Linked DNA regions of Drosophila melanogaster. The protein of the gene in region 2 purifies or fractionates together with the protein of the main gene of each other region. This does not show direct contact. Each region holds a gene or a part of one and is shown on either strand. Other genes may lie near its edges. The genes, in order: spz5, Toll-6, kek6 and wek.

The links.
Region 1: the proteins of Toll-6 (region 2) and spz5 purify together in Drosophila melanogaster (affinity purification with western blotting; one study listed by BioGRID). This does not show direct contact.
Region 3: the proteins of Toll-6 (region 2) and kek6 purify together in Drosophila melanogaster (affinity purification with western blotting, with the first as the bait; one study listed by BioGRID). This does not show direct contact.
Region 4: the proteins of Toll-6 (region 2) and wek purify together in Drosophila melanogaster (affinity purification with western blotting, with the first as the bait; one study listed by BioGRID). This does not show direct contact.

The regions. Positions count from the first base shown.
Region 1 is NT_037436.4:2,888,973-2,894,010, forward strand, and holds the start of spz5 (spatzle 5), read right to left. Parts: upstream 3,195-5,038; 5' UTR 2,895-3,194; intron 274-2,894; 5' UTR 192-273; coding exon 129-191; intron 73-128; coding exon 1-72. UniProt on the Drosophila melanogaster protein: Neurotrophin which may function as a ligand for the Toll-related receptors Toll-6 and Toll-7. Binds to Toll-7 and Toll-6, and probably acts as their ligands in the promotion of motor axon targeting and neuronal survival in the central nervous system (CNS).
Region 2 is NT_037436.4:15,334,897-15,339,859, reverse strand, and holds the start of Toll-6 (Toll-6), read right to left. Parts: upstream 3,169-4,963; 5' UTR 2,636-3,168; coding exon 1-2,635.
Region 3 is NT_033777.3:31,620,199-31,625,232, reverse strand, and holds the start of kek6 (kekkon 6), read right to left. Parts: upstream 3,098-5,034; 5' UTR 2,411-3,097; intron 1-2,410. Other genes in the region: pasha (partner of drosha), read right to left, coding at 4,116-4,403, 4,463-4,717, 4,774-5,034.
Region 4 is NT_033779.5:15,765,633-15,770,251, forward strand, and holds wek (weckle), read right to left. Parts: upstream 2,718-4,619; 5' UTR 2,600-2,717; coding exon 2,474-2,599; intron 2,414-2,473; coding exon 1,508-2,413; intron 1,448-1,507; coding exon 1,101-1,447; intron 1,037-1,100; coding exon 1,003-1,036; 3' UTR 501-1,002; downstream 1-500. Other genes in the region: CG3793 (uncharacterized protein), read left to right, coding at 43-79; Ku80, read right to left, coding at 3,107-4,619. UniProt on the Drosophila melanogaster protein: Acts as an adapter to assemble/stabilize a Toll/wek/Myd88/tube complex; required for efficient recruitment of Myd88 to Toll. Dispensable for innate immune response; plays a minimal role, if any, in the immune defense against Gram-positive bacteria and fungi.

The DNA.
Region 1 (5,038 bases), about 12 Mb from region 2:
CTGGCAAGGCGGGGCTCCATAAAGGCCACATGGCGGGGGCGAGCTGTGGGCGGCTACTGTATAAGCTAATATCTGGAGAAAGGAGATTTTGAAGTATAATAAGGAGTACTGGGAGAAGGAATACTCACCACATAGGTAAGAAGAACTTGTTTACAACTAAAGGGGGGCGGACGTTTAATACTTTTTGTCATTGTCAATTCATTCGCCGTCGATTTGCATTTGCATTTGACTCGATTGCGATTCAGCCAGTGTCTTCAACGTGAATTCGGAAACCTGAAGCGAAAGAGAAACTGCCATGAGTTATTTGGTCAAATATTAGTCGCAAAAAAATGGCAAATACACGACCATTTCTCGCACCATTTCCATTGGGACACGAAACAGACAATAAGTGATGGTTTTTCCGCAGCGGAAATGCTTCAAAGTGCTTATTTGTTGCCCACAGTTCACTTGGGCTTATTGTTAAGTTAAACAATCAACAACTAAAACAATAACACAAACACGAACTACACCACCGACAGCCTCTTGAGCAAACAACAGCCAAACAACTCGAACAACTCCCGTAAATAGCGAAAATAAATTGCCAAAAGTGAAAGTGACGAACAAGCTCCAGACAACAAGATTAAGTATACGCAGATTAAGTATACGCCGCGAAGATAATGGACTGGACACGCCCCATGCATTGTGGGGGCGTTCTCAATTGGCGACCCGAGCTGTCAGCTAATGACAATACTTATAAACTCTAATGATTTATTAGGACTCTAAAACGGAATTTCAATATGCCGGTATTTAAATCGGATGTTTTATAGACAATTTAAGTTTAGATCAATGCAAGATATTTTGCATATTTAAAGTGATATATTACCAACTGTTGGAGAGAATATATATATAATAATACAAGCAGTTTTTATTGCGGAAACTATGAGATAACTTTGACTAGATTTCGATAGTTAGCAATGCTTTTATATGAACAAGAAGCTCAAAGAAAAATTCCCAACATGTTTCCCGTATGAAATCAACTTTTAAAATCTGGGAAAATTAAAAATCCCGTAATTAAATGTTAATTAACAGCTGACATAACTAACGAAAGTGAGCTAAAAATTAACAAAAAATGTTATACAAATATTTTAATTATTATAATGTAACAATGCTAACAAGTGATCAAATCTAAAGCTGTCACAGTCAATGGTAAAAACCGGATTTCGTGTCAAGTTTTGCTATAGTTTCAATATAATGTGTACCACAATTATTTATAGAACAAAAAGCAATAACAATTGCCTTTAACACTCAGACATGGGGTGCCTGTAAAAACAGCGAGCATTCAAGAATCAATTGGAATTTATACCGATACAAAAACACCTGCCACAAGCTGCGATAGGATTTCCGGGATCACAGGCTCTTTTGCACGAGCCAAGCAAAACAAATCAGTCAACAAACAAGAGCCAATGACAAAGTGTCCGTCAAGGTACACAGGAAATAATTATATTAATAATATTAAAAATGAAAAAATAAAGAAAACAATTATAATAAATGAACATTCACGGCATATTAAAGTATCAAACAGAAGTTTGAAACACAAAATGTTGTTTAGTAGTTGAGCTGGGCTTTAAATGCTTATACAATTTTATATATACATATAATAACACATATTTCTCTGAGATTAAAATAGCTTAGGTATTTTGAAACCACGTTTCCAACCATGTTTTCTGCTGTGCATCGAAGCCAGATTTAGTGTCTGCGATCTGCTAATGGAGTCTTGCACATGGCTACACCCACGTATTGCTGGTATTTCCCCGATGCCAAAGTTGCGCCAGGCGATCACCTCATAAATCACAGAGCAGCCAAAAGAAGTTGGACATGGGTTTTGGCATTGTTTCCCTTGGCAACTTTAGTGGCAGCGTGTTTTATGGTGTGTTTTGGGCCATTTGCACATCATTAGGCCGACGGGCCAAAAGTTAATGAAATTGTTAAAGATCTTTGACCAAGCTTTAGCGGCTAATCCATTGGCTGCGGCATCATTTTCGAAATTGAGTGCTCAAAATCGCTGGGCCCCATTCAATTTATTTGAATGATTTGGCCGCAAAATCATCTATCTATATTTAATTAATTATATCCCGCCTGAGTAATGATCGATTGTCAGATCTTTATCTTTGTCTCGCCCAGACATTCTCACTTATTCACCCGATTGGCACTTTTTTAAGGGGATAAAATATTTTGTTGGCATCTAATTGAAGCATTAGCAGGCTAAAAAAAAGAGCTGAATGAAACGAAATGCTGCTAATTAATTATAAAGCTATTTAATAATAATGATTGCTTATTAAGTTTTTATTACGCGAGTGTTTGACACAGGAAAGTTTTAAGCTCTCTAGTTTATTTAATTGGTAAACTTGTATACTTTCCACAATATCTATCCTTACTTCTATCCATTAAATAAACTATCAAAGAGACAGACTTCTGCTTCGGGCATTTTTTCCAAAGCCTCTGAATTATTTTCCTTCACAAAGAGGTTGGGTTATTTGAAGCTAATTTAGGGACTAAAACAATGGATTCGATTGGAGGCAGACAAATAGCTGAGCTTCATTATAATTTTTTAAACATATATTTTATGCCTGCATTTAGCTAAGAAATTAAGCACGACTTTTCAAGGTTTTTTCTCCCCACTTGATTATATTTTGTTTGTATTTACCCAAAGTGTTGTCTGCATTTTTTGTGGATTTTGTTTTGTGATCGCTTTGATTTAATTTGTGTTTGCTGGTTTCCTAACATTTTGGTTACAAGTGTATACAAAAAGAAGGAAAACAATCAAGCGTTATAATAAATCAGAGCTGCGATGACGAACCAATGAAATTTATTAACTTATGGCGGGAATTAAAGTATTCAATTTAATAATTACTCACCTAGTGTGCGGCTTGTAGATTTGTTTGGGTTTTTGCTTCACAGTATTTGGCAAATGTTTTTGATCACTATGTGCACTTTTGTCGAGCTTAGCTATGCTCTTTGTATTTCAGTGAAATATTTTCTCTTTTTTTGCCACCGAACACTCACTTGAAAATTCTACTAATTAAAAAACTTAACACGTACCGAAGAGCGCGGATATTTCGGTTTTTGGACTTTAGGTTTTCGATTTCGATTTCGTTTTCGTCTTTTCCGTTTCACGCGTTTGCCAATGCTCACGGCGGCAGCTCGTAGCCAACTGAGCGGTCTTAGCCAAGTTAACAGCGGCCCAGAGCCGCAAACTCGGGAAAAGAGGCAGAGAAAAGCAGAGCTTGGGTCAGAGCAGAGCTATATAGCAAAAGATATAGCCGGCTCTGATCTCCCAGGCTAATCTCTCAATTTAGCCCGCTCAACTTTGAACTTTTTGGCCCGTGATTCATGTCGTTGGCCACATAGTATAATGTGATATGTGGTGCGGTTTTCTTTTTCTTTTTTGGCCCGATTCAAGACCGGAAGTCCAGTGGTTCGGGCCATTCGATATGACGTGGGCCTTATTTATTGACCACTTTTATTGTTTATTTTACATTGTCGCCAATATGCGAACTGCAATAAAGTGAATTTATTTAAATTGTTAATTTTTCTGCTCGCCAATTGTTGTTCGTCGTTGCCGCCGGTTTTGGCCCATAGATACGGCGCATTGTTCGGGCGATGAATTTGGATTTTTATGGCCAATGAAGGTCAGTTAACAGCTTTTATCTGTCGCAGATTTGTGACTGCTGCCGTTGATTTGATTTGGCGCTGCCTCCGGCACAGACATTGAATGTTGGCAAGAAAAGGCTTTTAATGGCCAAGACCACGCACAATTGTAGGAGTTACCTCCGATTTTGTCTCTCGTCGAAGGCATTTAAATCAATTTTGCGCGTTGCCAAAGCTGGAATTATGGGTAATATTTCAGCACAGGTATATTGGGAATTATTTTTTTTTTTTTCATTCCTAATAAATATTTACAATACTTTTTAACCAAGAAGAAAGCGCTGAGCAGTAATTTCTCTGTCAATTTATTTTAAAGTATTGAATATGCAATATGTGTGTACATAATTAGAAAAAAACAAATAAATTTAATTTTTAAAAAGGTTGAAAGAGATGTATACCGTAAAATAGTTTTAAACTATCAAAGGCCTAAATTATTTTTATGGTTCAAAGTATAAGCCAAATAGACCGAAATATATCTAGTAAGATTTTCAAGATTTTCAGAAAATGAAATGAATTATTTAAATTCGATAATTAGTGATAAAAATGAGTATGGTTACATGATTTACTCACTGGGTATCCAGTTAGTCCACTCTCCGCAAACTCGAACATTATTTATGTTTACAGCTGATTGCCAATAGCAAGAGATTTGCACTCTCAAATCTTCCGAGGCGGTTTTGGAATTTTATCCGTCGCCTTGGGTGCTTCATCGTTCAATTTTGGTTTCTTGGCTCCAATTTTGCACAACTTTCACAAAGACGAGACCTAGACAGAAAAGTACGGGAAAACCCTCGCCGAAATCACAATATGGGGCTCCAAGCTCTTATCGAAAATGGTTTTTAATGCGTTTTTAAGTCAAATTAGTGACTTCATCAGTCTGCCGGCCGAGCAGGCTCAGATTCGATTTGAGATTCACTTAAGCCGCTCATTAATCAAACTCCGAGCCCAAGGTATCGGGACCAAAGGTATCATTTTATACCTAAAACTATCGCGGCTACATATGTATATAACACGTGGAGGGGCCACTCCCCCAACTTCCCACCGCCGTTTTAAGGCTTAGCTGCAATTGCGAAAGGGTTAATTAGGGGCTGGGTCCACCAACTCAATGCCGCCGGTTGGCCAATGAAACCATTAAAGCCGTCGATTGCCCTGGGCAATTTGTACCTCTTTTCCATTATTTTTGGCCCACTAGCTCGCCGAACATCACCCGCTGCCCGTGACGTAATGGCTAAAGGTGCTTAGGGTCGATCCGCTTAAAGATCGGCCTATTTTATGAAGTATCTCCTCTAAACCAAGAAACGTATCGGAACCGCCTCGAAAACGCTAGAAAAACTCGGTCGTTTCGCCTTTTGGTTGT
Region 2 (4,963 bases):
ACGAATGTCCCGCCAATTCAACAAAGTTGTTGCCATCGATATACAACTCAGAGGTATCCATGGGCACACGTCTCGGCATCTCAGAATAAGCTGCGCCCGAGCACTCCACAATATTTGTGGACCAGGTTTGGTCATGGAAGCACGTGCAATTCGTGGGGCAGGTCATCTCGCAATCACAAGCATCGAACTCACAGCAATGGCAAACGGCGAAGCAATGGGTCTTGTAGGTGCACAAAAAGTGCTTGGGTTCAGCTTCGATCAGGGGAATATAGGCCCTCTCCCTGTTGTTCAGCAACTTGCAGTATATGGTCTCCAGATCCATAATCCTTGGATATTGCCTCGATGTTATATGGTTAATCTTCTGCAGCCAATCAATGTTACAATCGCAGGTGAAGGGATTTCCACCAATATAGAACTCTGGCAGAGCTCGATGTTCCCAAACTGGCAGAATCCTCAAGGACTTGATGTCCAGCGTTGTGATTTGGTTCGCATAGAGATCCACCCGGGTCAGATTGGTTTTGTGCATAAAGGTATCTGGATCAACGGTGGTTATCAGGTTGTCGTTCAGGAACAGCAGTTCGATAGAGTTTGGTATGGAACTGGGTCCAATGCGCTGAAGTTGATTAAAGCTCACATCGAGAGTTTGTAGTTTTAGCTCACTATCCAAACCAAAACGATTTGATAAGGAACTCAACCGATTCTTATGGAGGTCCAGCCACTGCAGGGTGGATGGCACATGTCCATAATCAAAGGATTCCAAACGATTATCGGATATATTCAGCCACAGAAGGGAGGGCATGTTGCTGAAGAGGCCATTGATGTCATTCAGCTCATTGCCATCCAAACGCACAGCTTGAATGCTCGAGGTCATCTCAAAGGCCCCCGGTTCCACAACTGCTATGCGGTTTCTGGCGAGATTCAGGATTTGCAAATTAGGCAGATCCCTGAAGGTGTGCATCGTAATATTCTCCAGGTAGTTGCCAATCAAGCGGAGACCATAGAGATTTCCCAGACCTTTAAACGCACTATCCTCCATAACGGTAATCATGTTCTCGCCCAGATCCACGGTTCTCAAATGGCGCATATTCCTCAGGGCCAGCGGAACTGTCTTCAGCTGATTGCCATTCAAGTTGAGGTCCTGCAGGGCACTGCAGTTCCGGAAGGCATCCGGATGCACGCCAATCAGCGCATTATTGTCCAGCGAGAGCAGCGACAGTACATACAATCCGTTCAGAGCATATGCATCCAGATACTTCAGTTTGTTGTGCGACAGCAGCAGCGTGTGCAGATTATTCATCGGGGCAAAAGTGTCGGCTGCGATGTTCTCCAGCTGATTGTGACGCAGATTAAGAATCTGCAGGGTGTACAAGTCGCTGAAGATCTCTGGCTCCAGTTTGGTCAACTTGTTGTGCGACAAATTAAGCAGAACCAGACGAATCAGACCCACAAAGGTGTTCTTATCGATCCAGGTGGAGGTTATCTGGTTCATGGACAGGTCCAGGGCCTGCAGCTGGTCCAGATTCGAGAAGAGCTGCGGATTCAGCACACTTATGGAATTATTCTGCAGGTACACCTCTTGGATAATCTTGGCTTGCTCAGCGAAGAGTTCTGTGGGCAAGGCCACGATTTTGTTGGAGCTCAGGTTCAGGATCTGCAGGTTCTTCAGTCCACTGAGAGCCTTGTCCGCAATCATGGAGATGCCATTGTTGTTGACCGAAAGGACTCGCAGCCTCCTCAGAGTGCCAAATCCATTTGCTGGCAGCACGACGAAATCATTGTGGCTCACATCCAGGTACTCCAGGTCCAGCGAACAACTGGTGCTTGAGCTACTGCTCTTTTTGGCCGATTCGGTGGTGGAGGTGGATTCGGTGGAACCATTGGTTGGCTCCTTGCTGCGATCCCTGAAGCCCAGCTCGTTGACGTCCTGCAGGCGATTCTCGCTCATGTTCAGGGCAGACAACTCGGACAGGGTGCAGAATATGTTATCCGGCAGGGACCAGATGTTGTTCGAACTGAGGTCCAGTCTCTCCAACCTCCGAGTGACCGAGAAGGCATCCGCTTCTATCTCGAAATTCAGCGCTGGCCACAGGATGTTGTGCGTCCGGAGCGTCAGGTTCCTCAGCTGCTCCAGACCATCCAGAACCTGGCGACCCAGTCGCCCCAGCTTGCAATACTGGATGGACAGCTGCTGGAGCCTAACCAGATGGGCGAAAGATTGCGCCTCCAGGCGACTCTTGGCCATGATTTCGTCATTGCACAGTATGTGCAGGGCAATCGTGTGCTCGGCGGGTATAACACTGAAATTGGTTGTGTCAAACTCGCTGTTCACCGTGCGCAGGTTGCACGTTAAGGCTATTTCCGGCTGATCCAGACCCGCTGCTGGCATGAAGTGACAGTCGTCGGGGGCGTCATACAGCGAAGGGTCACCACCCGCGCCCGCGGTCAAGGGTCGCAGGGTTCGCGCCGGAGTCGAGGGCTGCATTAGCTGCGAGTTGGAGACCCCAGCCTCACCCATTATCGCATTCGAGTGCGACAGCTGCTGCTGCTGGTGGTGCTTGGTGGACAGCGATTCCGTGGTGTGCTGCTGATCCTGGGCCAGGACCACGGGCAGTATGAGTAGCATATAGTAGATCATTTTGGCGATTCACGGTTTAGCTGCGTGGAGGCACCGGAAAATGGGTTTGCGGAGGGGGGAAAGACGGTACAAGCGGGGGTCTTGGGGAGAAACGAAAAGAAAATCAATTCCACTGGCTGGCCAAAGAAAAGTCTGCGCACATATTTTCGGCTTCTGTGCTCCCTCTACTCCAAGCCAGATTTTCTTTATTTTCCCCCGATTCTTTAGTTAATTATGCTCTCCGTGTTTTCTTCTCTCTTACACCCGGCACATTTTCTAGCACTTGGCCTTTTCTATCCTCTTTATATTTAAATTTTTCTTTTTTATTCGTTTCGGCGCTTTGAATTACTCGCTTCGAAGTTTTTGTTTATTACACGTCGCGTTATAGGAACCTTTGATGAATTTCAATTTAGCTGCGGGCTCGACTTCTATTATCACTTTTTCATTTGGCTGAACTGAACCCACTTTTTCTGGGACTTGAGCGGTGCAGCAGCGTCGATATTTTCCGGTTCGTAATGTAACGCGCACGTTGGCTGATTTTCGACTGACTGCCGCAACGTGCGCAACTTCTCTTTTAAATGGAGAGTCGTCCACGAACTCGAAACCCCGAAAATCCGAAAAGCCGAACGCGAGCCGAAGGGGGCTGGAAAACAGACGAAGAGCAGCCGACAGGCTCTGCACGGGCGGGAAATGCTGAGAGTTTTCGGAGAGTATGACTAAAGGGAAATTCGCTCTGGCTCGACGGATGCTGGAAAATGTTTTTCTTTCTCTCCATCTAATCGCATCGAACAGCTGGCGTTCGTTCGTGTTTTCCTTTTGATTTTCTCTGTCTTTTTTCGTCGTATTTCGTATATCCTTTATTTTTTTGCCGCCGAATCGGAGATAGAGCTCCGCACCCCCCGCCGCCAACCGGCGACTTCTCTGCTGTCTCTGTTTTGATAATGAAAATATATGATGTGCATGGGCCAGCGCCAATCTTCATACAAACGTAATTTATTTTTATGCCATGTGCATGTGTGTGTCGGTGTGCCGAGAAGGTCCTTCGGCTGCTTTTTGCTCCTGTTTCGTGGGCCCAGACCCGTATAAAAATAATAATTCCTCACATTCCATTAAATTACAATAATAATTTTAATTAAACTGTTTTGTTTGCGCCTCATGTAACAATTCCTGTGGTTTCATGACTTCTTTTTCGCCCAGCAAAGCAGCAAAAAACTGTCTTCCCCATCAGGTTAATGATAATGATTATGGGCCAGCATTATGGGGTTTCGTTGGGCTTTGGATGTGTGGGGATTTCTGTGGATTCCTCGTTCTCAAATCCGGAAAGTTATGCAAGGACTTGGTTAGACTCGATTGGGAGATGCTGGAAATAGCAAATATGAAAATTCGTGAGCAGAGTTTTTATAAAAAGCTCCTTTTATAGGATATCTTAAATCGCACACTGCAAATTCAGATTTTTGTAGTTACTTAAATTTTGAATTATGTTATTGTCTTTTGGACTTAAATTAATATTTCTTTGAGATTAATTACACTTGGAACATTTTACTACTTCAAATAATAAATATACAATTTTTGCTTCACGCGCCTATGATTTTGATGAATGTATTATAATCTTACCTAAAGTAGTCCTGGTATCTCGAAAAAGAAATCAATCTATCAAGGAAATTTTCCAAGGGTTAATTTACAAAGAAGACTGTCTATTGTTCCTTATTTCGTTAACCTCCGGCATGTATGTATTTTGATTGTTCAATATTTGGGTGAAAGCAGAAATATTGATGGATCACCGCCAACAAATTCAATGGCGATTACCACGGCATGGTAACCTTGATAAACTTCGGGTCTTTCATGACTAATTCCCAAGAAAAACAGCTGCCCTGGACACTTTATCTTGGGCTAATATTTCTTAGCTGGCTTGAAAGTTTTCCCATATCCATGGGTGTTGTGGCTAAGGATCTTTTTGTCGCCACTAAAAGCAAACACAAAAACATTTTTGCCAAATTGCGTCAGCCAACAGAACGCCTCCCACCCATTTTTCGTGCTGGGGTAATGATTTGCCTAATGTTTCTAACAATTATGTGGCTTGGCCACACAAAAGAATATATTATGTAAGTTATTAAAATTATATCACCAGCAGGAGCAGCAGCAGAGCCACGAACAGCAGCCAAGTCTAATAAGCCTCCTGCACAGTGAAGAAAACTATTGCAGTTCAGTCTTAATTTGAGAGATTTTCTCAGTAAGATATTCGCTAAAAATATTAGTTATTTAGGCACATGATGTTTTTCTTTTACCAATTACTCTTGTACAGGGATGTATTACTGTTTTATTCACAAGATTTTCCTTCAGTGCACCCCT
Region 3 (5,034 bases), on a different chromosome or scaffold from region 2:
TTTTAATTATACAAATGCAAATGCAGACGAATCCGTCCGACTTTCCAGTTAAGTAAACGGCAGGAGCTTACGGTTTTCGCCTGAAATCGATTCCCCAATCATAACTACAAGTGGCTATAATCACCTCGTCCGGCGGACAACGATTTTAACAATTGCCCAACCACTCGGACTTAAACCCATCGGTTGTTGGTTGCCGGTGGTCGGTGGTCGGTGGTCGGTTGAATGGCCAACGGCACCCGTGGTCCTGGCCATTAACTATGCAAATAATGTGCGGGATATAGACAAAATCGCCACAAGATTAATGCTTATTGATTTTCCCGGCCAGCGATAATTTGTTAGCACGCCAAATTGGCCGACAGTCGAGCGCCACTGAGTGAATGCGATTTTTCTGGCTTACTTTTCTATTTTGGGCAAAGCCATTCGAAGAATTTGATAAGCCCCTCTTGGAATTTTTCAGGACCCCAACCCCCAAAAAGTTTTTGTGGGTATTTGCATTATTAAGTACTCGCACCGCTCCCCCGATTTTCCGATTTCTTGGTGGTCGCTCGCTTTGTGGGAAATGCGAAATGGAAGATGGAGGATGGAAAATGGGTGACGACGGGTCGGTCATCCATTGAGCCGAAGGTGTCACATTGCCGGGATTTGCTTATCAGACATCAAAGGACACCTTGCGGTGCCATCGTTCCCAGATCGTTGCCATTGCAACCCGCAAACGAGAATTTGGCATGCGGAGGAGGAGGGGCAGGACTCACTGCCAAGTTTACGCATCCCTTGAAATTTTGGCTCCAGCCGAGGGAACTTACTTTCAGGTTTGTATAAATATTTTCGCTGGCTTGTTTGTCTGGTTTCGTCTGTTTAGCATTTCGGAATATTAATTAAAACAAACTTTCGGGGAATGTGAGCATTATTAAAAGGAAAGCTTACGTGAGCTGCCTTCTTCGGACTTTTTAGCCACTTCGAATCAGTTTTTGTATTTGTAAAAATGGTGCACATGAAAAACATTGAAATCTGTTTTGTTATGGAAAAATCTGGCTAAGTAAAAAAGAGCTTTGGCCACAAAGCCACAAAATGGCAAAGCAAGATTTAAATGCCTTCAAGTTGAAAGCATTTTGGGAAGGCAATTAAGGGCAAATCCTTGCAGATAAACGTATTTGCCATTTGTCTCAGCTAGAACTTAAACGAGTATTACTTTCAACTCAGTTAACAGACACATCAATTGGAATTAGGAAAACATAAAGCAAGGGTCTCTATAATCGATTTTTGGCACAGTTACTAGGTGTAAATGGGGAAGAAACTTTTACTCGAACCCAACATTCTTGCATCCAATGGATGTTGTCAACCCGAATTGAACGAAACTTAGAGAAATTTTGTTTTTTTATATTGAAGAAGGAGGCGAACCCATCGGAAGCCCGGAAAAGAAAATGTATTAGAAAGGGTCTATAATTCGTCTGTTTCCTCAAGAAGTCCTTGAAAGGAATCCCCAAAATGGAAGCCTGCGGTCCTGGGCAGCATTACCTGGATTTACTTAGCACAACTTCAAAGGAAGGACACTTTCTCCCGCGGGAAGTGGCGCTCCCCCAATTCGTCCTCACTCCGCCCGACTTCTTATTTACTCTTCATCTCTTTATTTCACCGAAATTAGCTGGAAGTGAAAACGAAACCGAAACAGCAAAAGAAATAGAAACTAAACGAATATCGAGCGGCAACAAAGCCATCGCCAAACGCAAAGCAGAACAGACCCCATCCCATCCCATCCAATCCCGAAAACCCGGCCAGACCGAAGTCAACCTACTTTTGGACGCAACAGACTACGCCAGAGCCGAGCGAGTATCCTATATGTGCCATGTAAGTGCACAAGGAGAAAAAGCTGGCAGCTTCGCTCTGTGGATTACTCTGCCAATATTTACTCAACCCTTCCTGTTGTTTTGCGGCGCCATAAAATTCCCAAATATTGCAATTCAATTAACACACGCCTACAGATACATATGTATATGCCATTATACGATAATGTAAGATAAATAATACCGCCTCTCCTTGTGAAAAAGGATGTGGATTTGGGGTTTGAAGAGCCGATACCCCATTTCCATTTGAGCCGTAGGGATTTATTTGGGAACACGTTGGATGGAAATTCACAAAATTGCACAAACTCCAAGACAATGACCGTAAAGCACAATTCCACCATCAATTTTTCAGTCCAAAATAAAGTAGTATCCACTTTTTTCTGCCCGTGCACGAGTTCATTCGGTATGCGCCCAGATGGCAAGCGTGGAGTGGGTTTTTCGGGCAGACGGGCAGGCGGACGGCGAGGAGGACGTGTGGCACGAGGGGGACAAACGGGCGCCCTGCGGCGGATTATTGAATTTTCCAGCATTCTCCGCTGACACTTGGCGCCTAATGCGCTACCGCTTACCTTCGCCTACTGCTGTTGCTCCAGTCCTTGTTGCTGCTACTGGCTTGCTCCTGCGTCCTGCGTCCTGCGTCCTCCGCCTTCTGCTGCTCCGGCGGCTGCTGCTTACCGATTCACTGGCTCTGACGGAAATTCCAATGGAATTTGGCATAATTTACATATCTCCGAGTGCTTGGGCCAAGCGGGCCAAATGCATTGGACACGGTGTACAGGAGTGCGTGTGTGTACCCGATTTTCCGTTTATTTTCCGAGTGCTCCGTCTTTCACCGAATATCCGCACTTTTTTCCCAGGCCCGATTTCTGGGCCGCTGGGCGAAAAATCAAAAACGGCGCGCGTGTCGTACCGCTTGCTACATCCACTGATTTGACGCGCGACCCACGCACTTGCAACACGCGACACACGAGCACCGGGAATCGAACGTCGAGAGTCGAGAATCGAGGAACTGGGGGGCTATGAAGTTGGTTTTTTTGGGGGCACCGAGGGATGAGGGGGCAACTAAGATGAATGTCAATAAAAATGATTCTGCTCTGCACTGCAGTTGGCCTTTTTTCAGCTGTACCACCGAATTCACCTCTTGGCTTTCTGTTTTTCTCCCCGTTTTTTTTTTCGGTCTGTCCCGAGTTACTGTGATTCAATTACAAATCCCAGACGAAAGTCCTGAGGATAGGAGCGCCGGGAAGTGGTTTTCTCGCCACGCGAAGAATCCGTACTGAAGATACAGATATGGCCTGCGAATTGGCAAGTCAGAACTCGCCACAATTCATCTCGCAGCATGGCTGCTGCGCAAAATCCGGGATCTGCGCCTGCGCCGCTCTCCCGCGCTCTCTCTCTCGGACTTTCTCTCTGCGACTGTCTCTCCGCATTCTCCGTGGTGGGTATGTGTGTGTGCCACGCTCGTTGGAATGCTATAAAAAAGGAAACGTTAGAATGAAATGAAAATGTAGCATAATTTATGACTGCATCGTCTTTTAAATAATTGCACGCACACACACCTACGAACCTACACCCTGCCCACCGCCTTAAATATTAACATCCACTCACCTAACGACCGACCGCCTAAAAACACCCGAGAATCCTAATGGCCATGTAAATATGCATTTTTTTATATTCCATACGACTTTTTAAAATGTCTTCCAAATTGGTTACGGGTCAATGGTGTTTGAACGTTCCAAGAATGAAAGCGATACGAGAAGATTTACGAGGAAATTTGATAAACAAATCATGAGCAAATAATTGTCCTGCTGTCTGCCCAAATGAATAGTTGTCAAATACTTAAGAACTCTACTTTTTTAATTGGTATTGCAGATAAAGATCTTAGACGAACATCTCTATACTCAAATATAAAGGACTGCGTTTTTAATAGTATTTTATTCAAGCTTATATTATACAAGTGAAATTGAACCCCTAATCTTAGCTATTGCAAGCATGAACTACTTATATTTGGCAAATTTAGTGATGAATTTACCTTAATGTAAAACCACTTGATAGGCAATTGTTCTTCATTTTTGGCCACTTGCTAAAGCCACTTCAGATTAACCAGCTCAGATAGATGAAGCCGATTTGAAATCAGTTCGTATGCCTCTAGAGAACGCGTCGTTGTTGTCATTAGCTTTTCGAATATGGAAATGGGTGGGTAACTAAGAGACTAGGAGGTTGTCATGCACTACTAGAGAATCAATGTTGGCGAGAGAGATGTGTGTTTCCCAATCAAAGTTCCACGTTGTTCAAATTGGACCCGGAGGAAGTGGGCAGATCGACGTCGCTTGGCGGCACAAAAGTGCCCATGGTTAGGACGCTCTCCTGCTTGGCACACAGTTTCAACATCTCGGATTTAAGTTTGTCCAGTATGGCGTAGTTGGGTTGGTTGACTGCCGCCTTGCTCTGCAGCACGGTGATCTCCTGCTCCTCCAGCTTCTTCTCCTTGAAGGTCTTTATGGAGTTGTTGCCGTAGAGGCGCAACAAGGAACCCCAGGTCTGGATGTGCGGATGCAAAATCTGACGAAAGGTTAACTCAATAGCTATAAGTAAAGTTATAAAGAAATATCAATGCTCACCTGGAGGATTGCTTGCGAAGCCAACTGCTTGCCCTCCCGCTTGTTTTTACACACCACTTTGGCAGTATGTTTGCCCACGGTCATGGTAAACTCGTTCTTGTTATTCGCGGTGCGGTTGATCTCCTGGCTGATCTGAACATCGCTGCCGTAGTTGCGCTGCAAGCAAGTCAGCAGAATGGCGTTGGGAGATGGCTCCGTCGTCTTGTTGCAGAATTCGGTGACTCGGGGATCTTCGATGCGGATGTCATCGAAAACCTGCAAGAAATATAAAAATAAGAAGTGGTTCCATTTTCTATAGGTAGATTGCTTACAGACAGATCGCTCTGCGCTTTCTTCGCAGTGCCGCTCTTTTGGTCCTTATTGTTGCCCGTTATCTTGTCCTTGACATCGGGAATGAGTATTTCCAGCGTTTCCCGAGCCGCCTCTGACTTGGCCTGCTTTTTACTGGTGCCATAGCCCGTGCCATACTTGAGATTGTTCACCGATACGGTGGCGGAGTAAGGCGTGGCTGCGTTTTGGAGCTCCTTGAACTCATAGGTGGGCTGCGTTTTCAGAGCATGCTGCACGTACTC
Region 4 (4,619 bases), on a different chromosome or scaffold from region 2:
GTTTAATCAACATGATTTTTTCTTTCCTCTATTTCCATGCAGCGTCGAAGAGTTAATGTCCTCGCTGAACATTGACTAGGAGTGAGTGAAGGTGGAAGGGATAGAGAGCCAACCTACTTGGATGCACTATTTATTGACTCTGCTCGGTTTGGAGGAAGGCCATGCCAAAATATTTTGCTTCTCAACGTGTTAACCTAAACAGCAAGTAATTAAAGAGAAACCATCGAAATCAAAACATGTTTAGATATTTATCCTACACAGAGACCCACTCACAAATGATCTAATTTGTATTAATTTAGTTGTTCCTTATATTTTTTTCTCTTGTTACATTTTTATTATTTAATCGCTTAATATTTACTATTTTATCACCGAGTTGTGGCACAAAATATTGATAGGTGATCAATATGCCATTCATTCATTCCCCAATTTAAGTGTGCGTTTAAATTGTAAATGTATTTTGAAATTATTAAAAAAAAAACCAACTTAAATGCAAAAAGGGCCGTTGTGTGTTTAATTAGGTGTCAATGTATCTGGTGTTAGCACGAAGCATTTACATTTGCTGAGTTATAATTTCAAACTGATTTTATTGTGAATAAGCCCTTGGAATTATCTACAGACCAACTTGTCGCAATCTAGTGAACCATGCGTGGGAGTTCTATGAATAGCGCTCATCTTTAAAATATGCTGCAACCGCTCACAGGAGTTTCAATTGAGTGTTTCAAAGTGTACGCATAATTTGGTGTCACAAATTACAATTGTTATTTTTAAATCTACATTGTGAGTCAAACAATTATTATCTTTTATACAATGTCATTTTCATGTGTGAACACATTTCCCAATTTAAGTGTGCGTTTAAAAAGTGAATTTATTTTGAAACTTATTAAAAACCAATTTAAATGCAAAAAGGGCAGTTGTGTGTTTAATTAAGTGTAAATGTAAATGTCTCTGGGATAAAATTTTACTGCGCACTGCTATTTATACATTTTTGTCAACCAACATGGTCTAATCCTGTTTGGCCTTGGCCATCTCGCGAGTTCTGCAAACCAAAAATTTAGTACAATAGTAAGCTAATAATAATAATATGCATGACTATAGCTTACATCGCTCTCAGTTCTTCCAATGTTGGCACTGGAACACGTGAAGATTCGGTTTCATCCTCCTTGGACGCCAGTTCCGGATGTTTTTTCCATTTGTGGGAGCGACAGTTGGTGTTGCTGGCGAACGCCTTTCCGCAGTACTTGCATACGTAGGGTCTGAGGCCGGTGTGTCCAAGGAGATGGATCTTCAAGGCCGTGGAGTTCTTACAGCCGCTGCCACAAACCTCGCACTTGAAGCGCCGCTCATCCGTGTGCACATACTTGTGCTTGTTAAGAATCGCCCGTGTCTGCAGCTTTTTGCCGCAGACATTGCACTCAAACTTGGGCTCACCATGTGTCTGACTGTGCACCTGGAAATTGTATACAAATTTCAAGATTTAGTTGGTCCACAAGATTATTCGATGACTTACTCTCAGCCTAGCTTTGTTCTTAAAACCAGCATTGCAGACGGGGCATATACAGGGCTTCTCTTCCGTGTGAACCAGCTGGTGCTCCACCAGCGATGTGAAGGTCTTCAAACCCTTTCCGCAGTGATCGCAAACGTATTTCTTCGGACCGCCGTGCATGTCGTGCTTGTGCCTGCGCAGAGCCATGAAGGACATAAAGGTTTCGTTGCAGATTTTGCAGGGATAATCGACGAAATTCGAACTCTGGGAGCCATGGGGTGACATGCTCAATTCGGATGTCTTGTCATCTTGTTTGGATTTAGCATTGTCGTCTGGTTCGCGGGAAGTTACGTTATCGCTGTCGTCCACGTTTTTCTGTTTGCCTGAGCCCTTGGGTCTGCCTCTTTTTCGCTTCAAAGGCGGCGGGGATACGGCCTCGTCTTCGTCTAGAATGGCCTCCTCATCATCCGACTCGGTTGCAGTGTACACTTTGGAATTTCGCTTAGCCGCAAACTGCTGTCGGCGACTTCGTTTTGTTTCAACTTCAGGAATTGATGCAGTAGGTGAGGCTAGCACTTTGGGATCGGAATTACACTGTTTGAGATTAGCTCGTGTTCGCACGGTCTGTGCTTCAAAATCGGGTGACGGAGATGTGGAATGGTCTGATATCGTTAGCTCCTCTACCAAGGAACACCTATCCTCCGTATCGTCTATGTCCAGGAACTCGAGGTCCTGCTTGCAGGCCGGCGGAAGGCCGTATTCCAGACGCAGGGCGTCCAAGTCCTGGCTATCCTGCGGCTCCGAGTGTCGCAGAAGCTCAAAAATGGCTTGTACTTTGGAAACGCTATCCGAGAAGGTGATCAGCTGGCCAATCACCGAGTAGCACTCCTCGCACAACATGCTGCCCAGTTCCGGTTCCTCGAGGGTCATCTGCGTGTGTGGAAAACTAATGTATAAGCTATCTGTAGGCTGGGAAAACGAATAACATACCTCCACATCAAAGCATTTGCTGATAATCCTAACCAGATCGTCGTCCCGCTCGCGCACTTTGTATACAACGTCGTCGCGGGCGCACAGGCGACACCAGTATATCCAATCGCTTGTGGGAACTCCCATGGCTAATCCTCAACAGAAGCCCCACAGTTTGGTACAGTATGCCCTCGGGTTTTGACTAAATTCTATTGCCAAAGCGCTGATTAAAATCAGCTGTATGGAGCGGAATTCCGAATCGATTAATTGGTATGCGCACTCCGATGATTTTTGGAAATATCGATAAGTGCAAAACAACAAGTTGTTGCCGCCATTTTCAAAAAGTATTCAGTTTAAATTTGGAATTGAAAATTGTATTTATTTTACTTTTTTTTCTCAATCATAAGAAGTATTACTAACGTTTTCCTTCCTGCGTGTCGATGTTTATTAACATAGAGATGTATTATCATCATCATTTGGATGTGGTTTCCCAGGGATATAATGTTGTTTTTAAAACATGCGACCGAGTTTTTACTCTGGTATATATATATAAACAATATAATAATTTATTTTCGACTTACATATAAGAAAAACTGTGTATAACAAAAACTAATTTTAGCACATTTGCTTAATATAACAAAATGGAATGATAAACTACATCTCAACGTCTTCCATATCGTTCGCCCCACTCTCCACCCAATTCTCGATGGTGTAATAGGCTTTTAGAGCCAATTCGTCGTCCAGCGTCGGCTCGCCAAGCACCAAAGGGCCCAATTGCTTGTCGACCATAACGTCTTGCCAGAATTCGCTGCGATTCTTGGCCAGCGCGATCTTCTTCAGCTCCTCAGCGAACTTGTCGTATTCCAAAAAGGTGTTGAAGTCTATACAGCTCTGTCGGTACAGGGTGATGAGCTCGCCCAGTTGCCCGATGTTCTGTTTCCTGCGCTGCAGCAGTGTGATGATCACCACGCGGGTATCGGCAGCCAGCGCCTGAAAGCGGGCATCTCGCTCAGTGGCATTACTGATTGTGTGAACGCTAGCCAGGACTCGCCTGAAATCAGAGATTGGATCAATTAAGCCCACACCGTCTGATGGCAACGGGATTTCCTTCTCCGCTGGTTCCGACTTGACTGCCACACCATTCTCTGCCTGCTCCTTGGCCAACAGCTTTTCCTGCCAGGCGCGACTATAGCGCAATGGAAATAGCTTCTTTACGATGGCTGCCGCTCTCTTTGACTTCTCCTCCAAGGGATCTGGCACTCGCCAGAATACATCTGCGAAGTTTTTGTCCTTAAGCATTTTGTCTTCCTTGTCGTTATCATAGATAACTTTTCGCTCTAGGATGTCCATGACATTCTGCTCAAAGATGCTGGGAAGTGCGTCGAACGGCAGCAGATCATTCTGCGCCCACGGACGTGGCTGCTGCGTGTCCCGCAGTGTGCACTCCAGATCGGTGCTATCGATTAACTGATCAATGGCATTCAGCTGTTCCTCGCTGCACTCCGTCTTGGTGGTTCGCAGTGCCGGAAAGTCCCAGAAGTGGTGCTGAGACGTATAGGAAACTTCCAGCATATACAAAGTAGCCGGATGGGTATCGTCTGCTAAGCGGGGCAGTAGCACAACCATTTGCGGTCTATTAAACTTGGTGCTATATATTTTCCAGCACAGTATGGCCCGATCCGAAGAAACGAGAGCACGCACCAGAGCGTCCAGCTTCACGGCGGCAGATTGATTGTGCTTCTGATGCACCAGGAGGTACAAGGACTCGCCACAAAAGTACTCATCCGGCACGGCATTTCTTTTGATAAAGCCAAAGAAGTGGAGACCAGGTGGGTGTGGTTCCTTTGGCTCTAGCACGGCCTCGTCGTATGGCACCGGAGTGCCGCCCAGCATGTAACCGGTTATCAGATTCTCCGGCAGCGGGGTGATCTCAGTGCCTTTGATATAATGACGAGTCTCCCGTATCACTATCTCATCCTTTTCCGCCCAGACCTTTACCAGCTTTACGGGCGTCTGGTTCTTCATGGCGATTATGCCCTGCAGGCTAATGGAGATCTTGCTGCCGATGTTCAGCTTTGCGTTCCACACCCAGGGTCGCCGGTTGGTCACCTTGAAGACGGTATGCAGTGCCTCCTTGAAGCTGCACAACGTCGCATTGCAGCGAGGA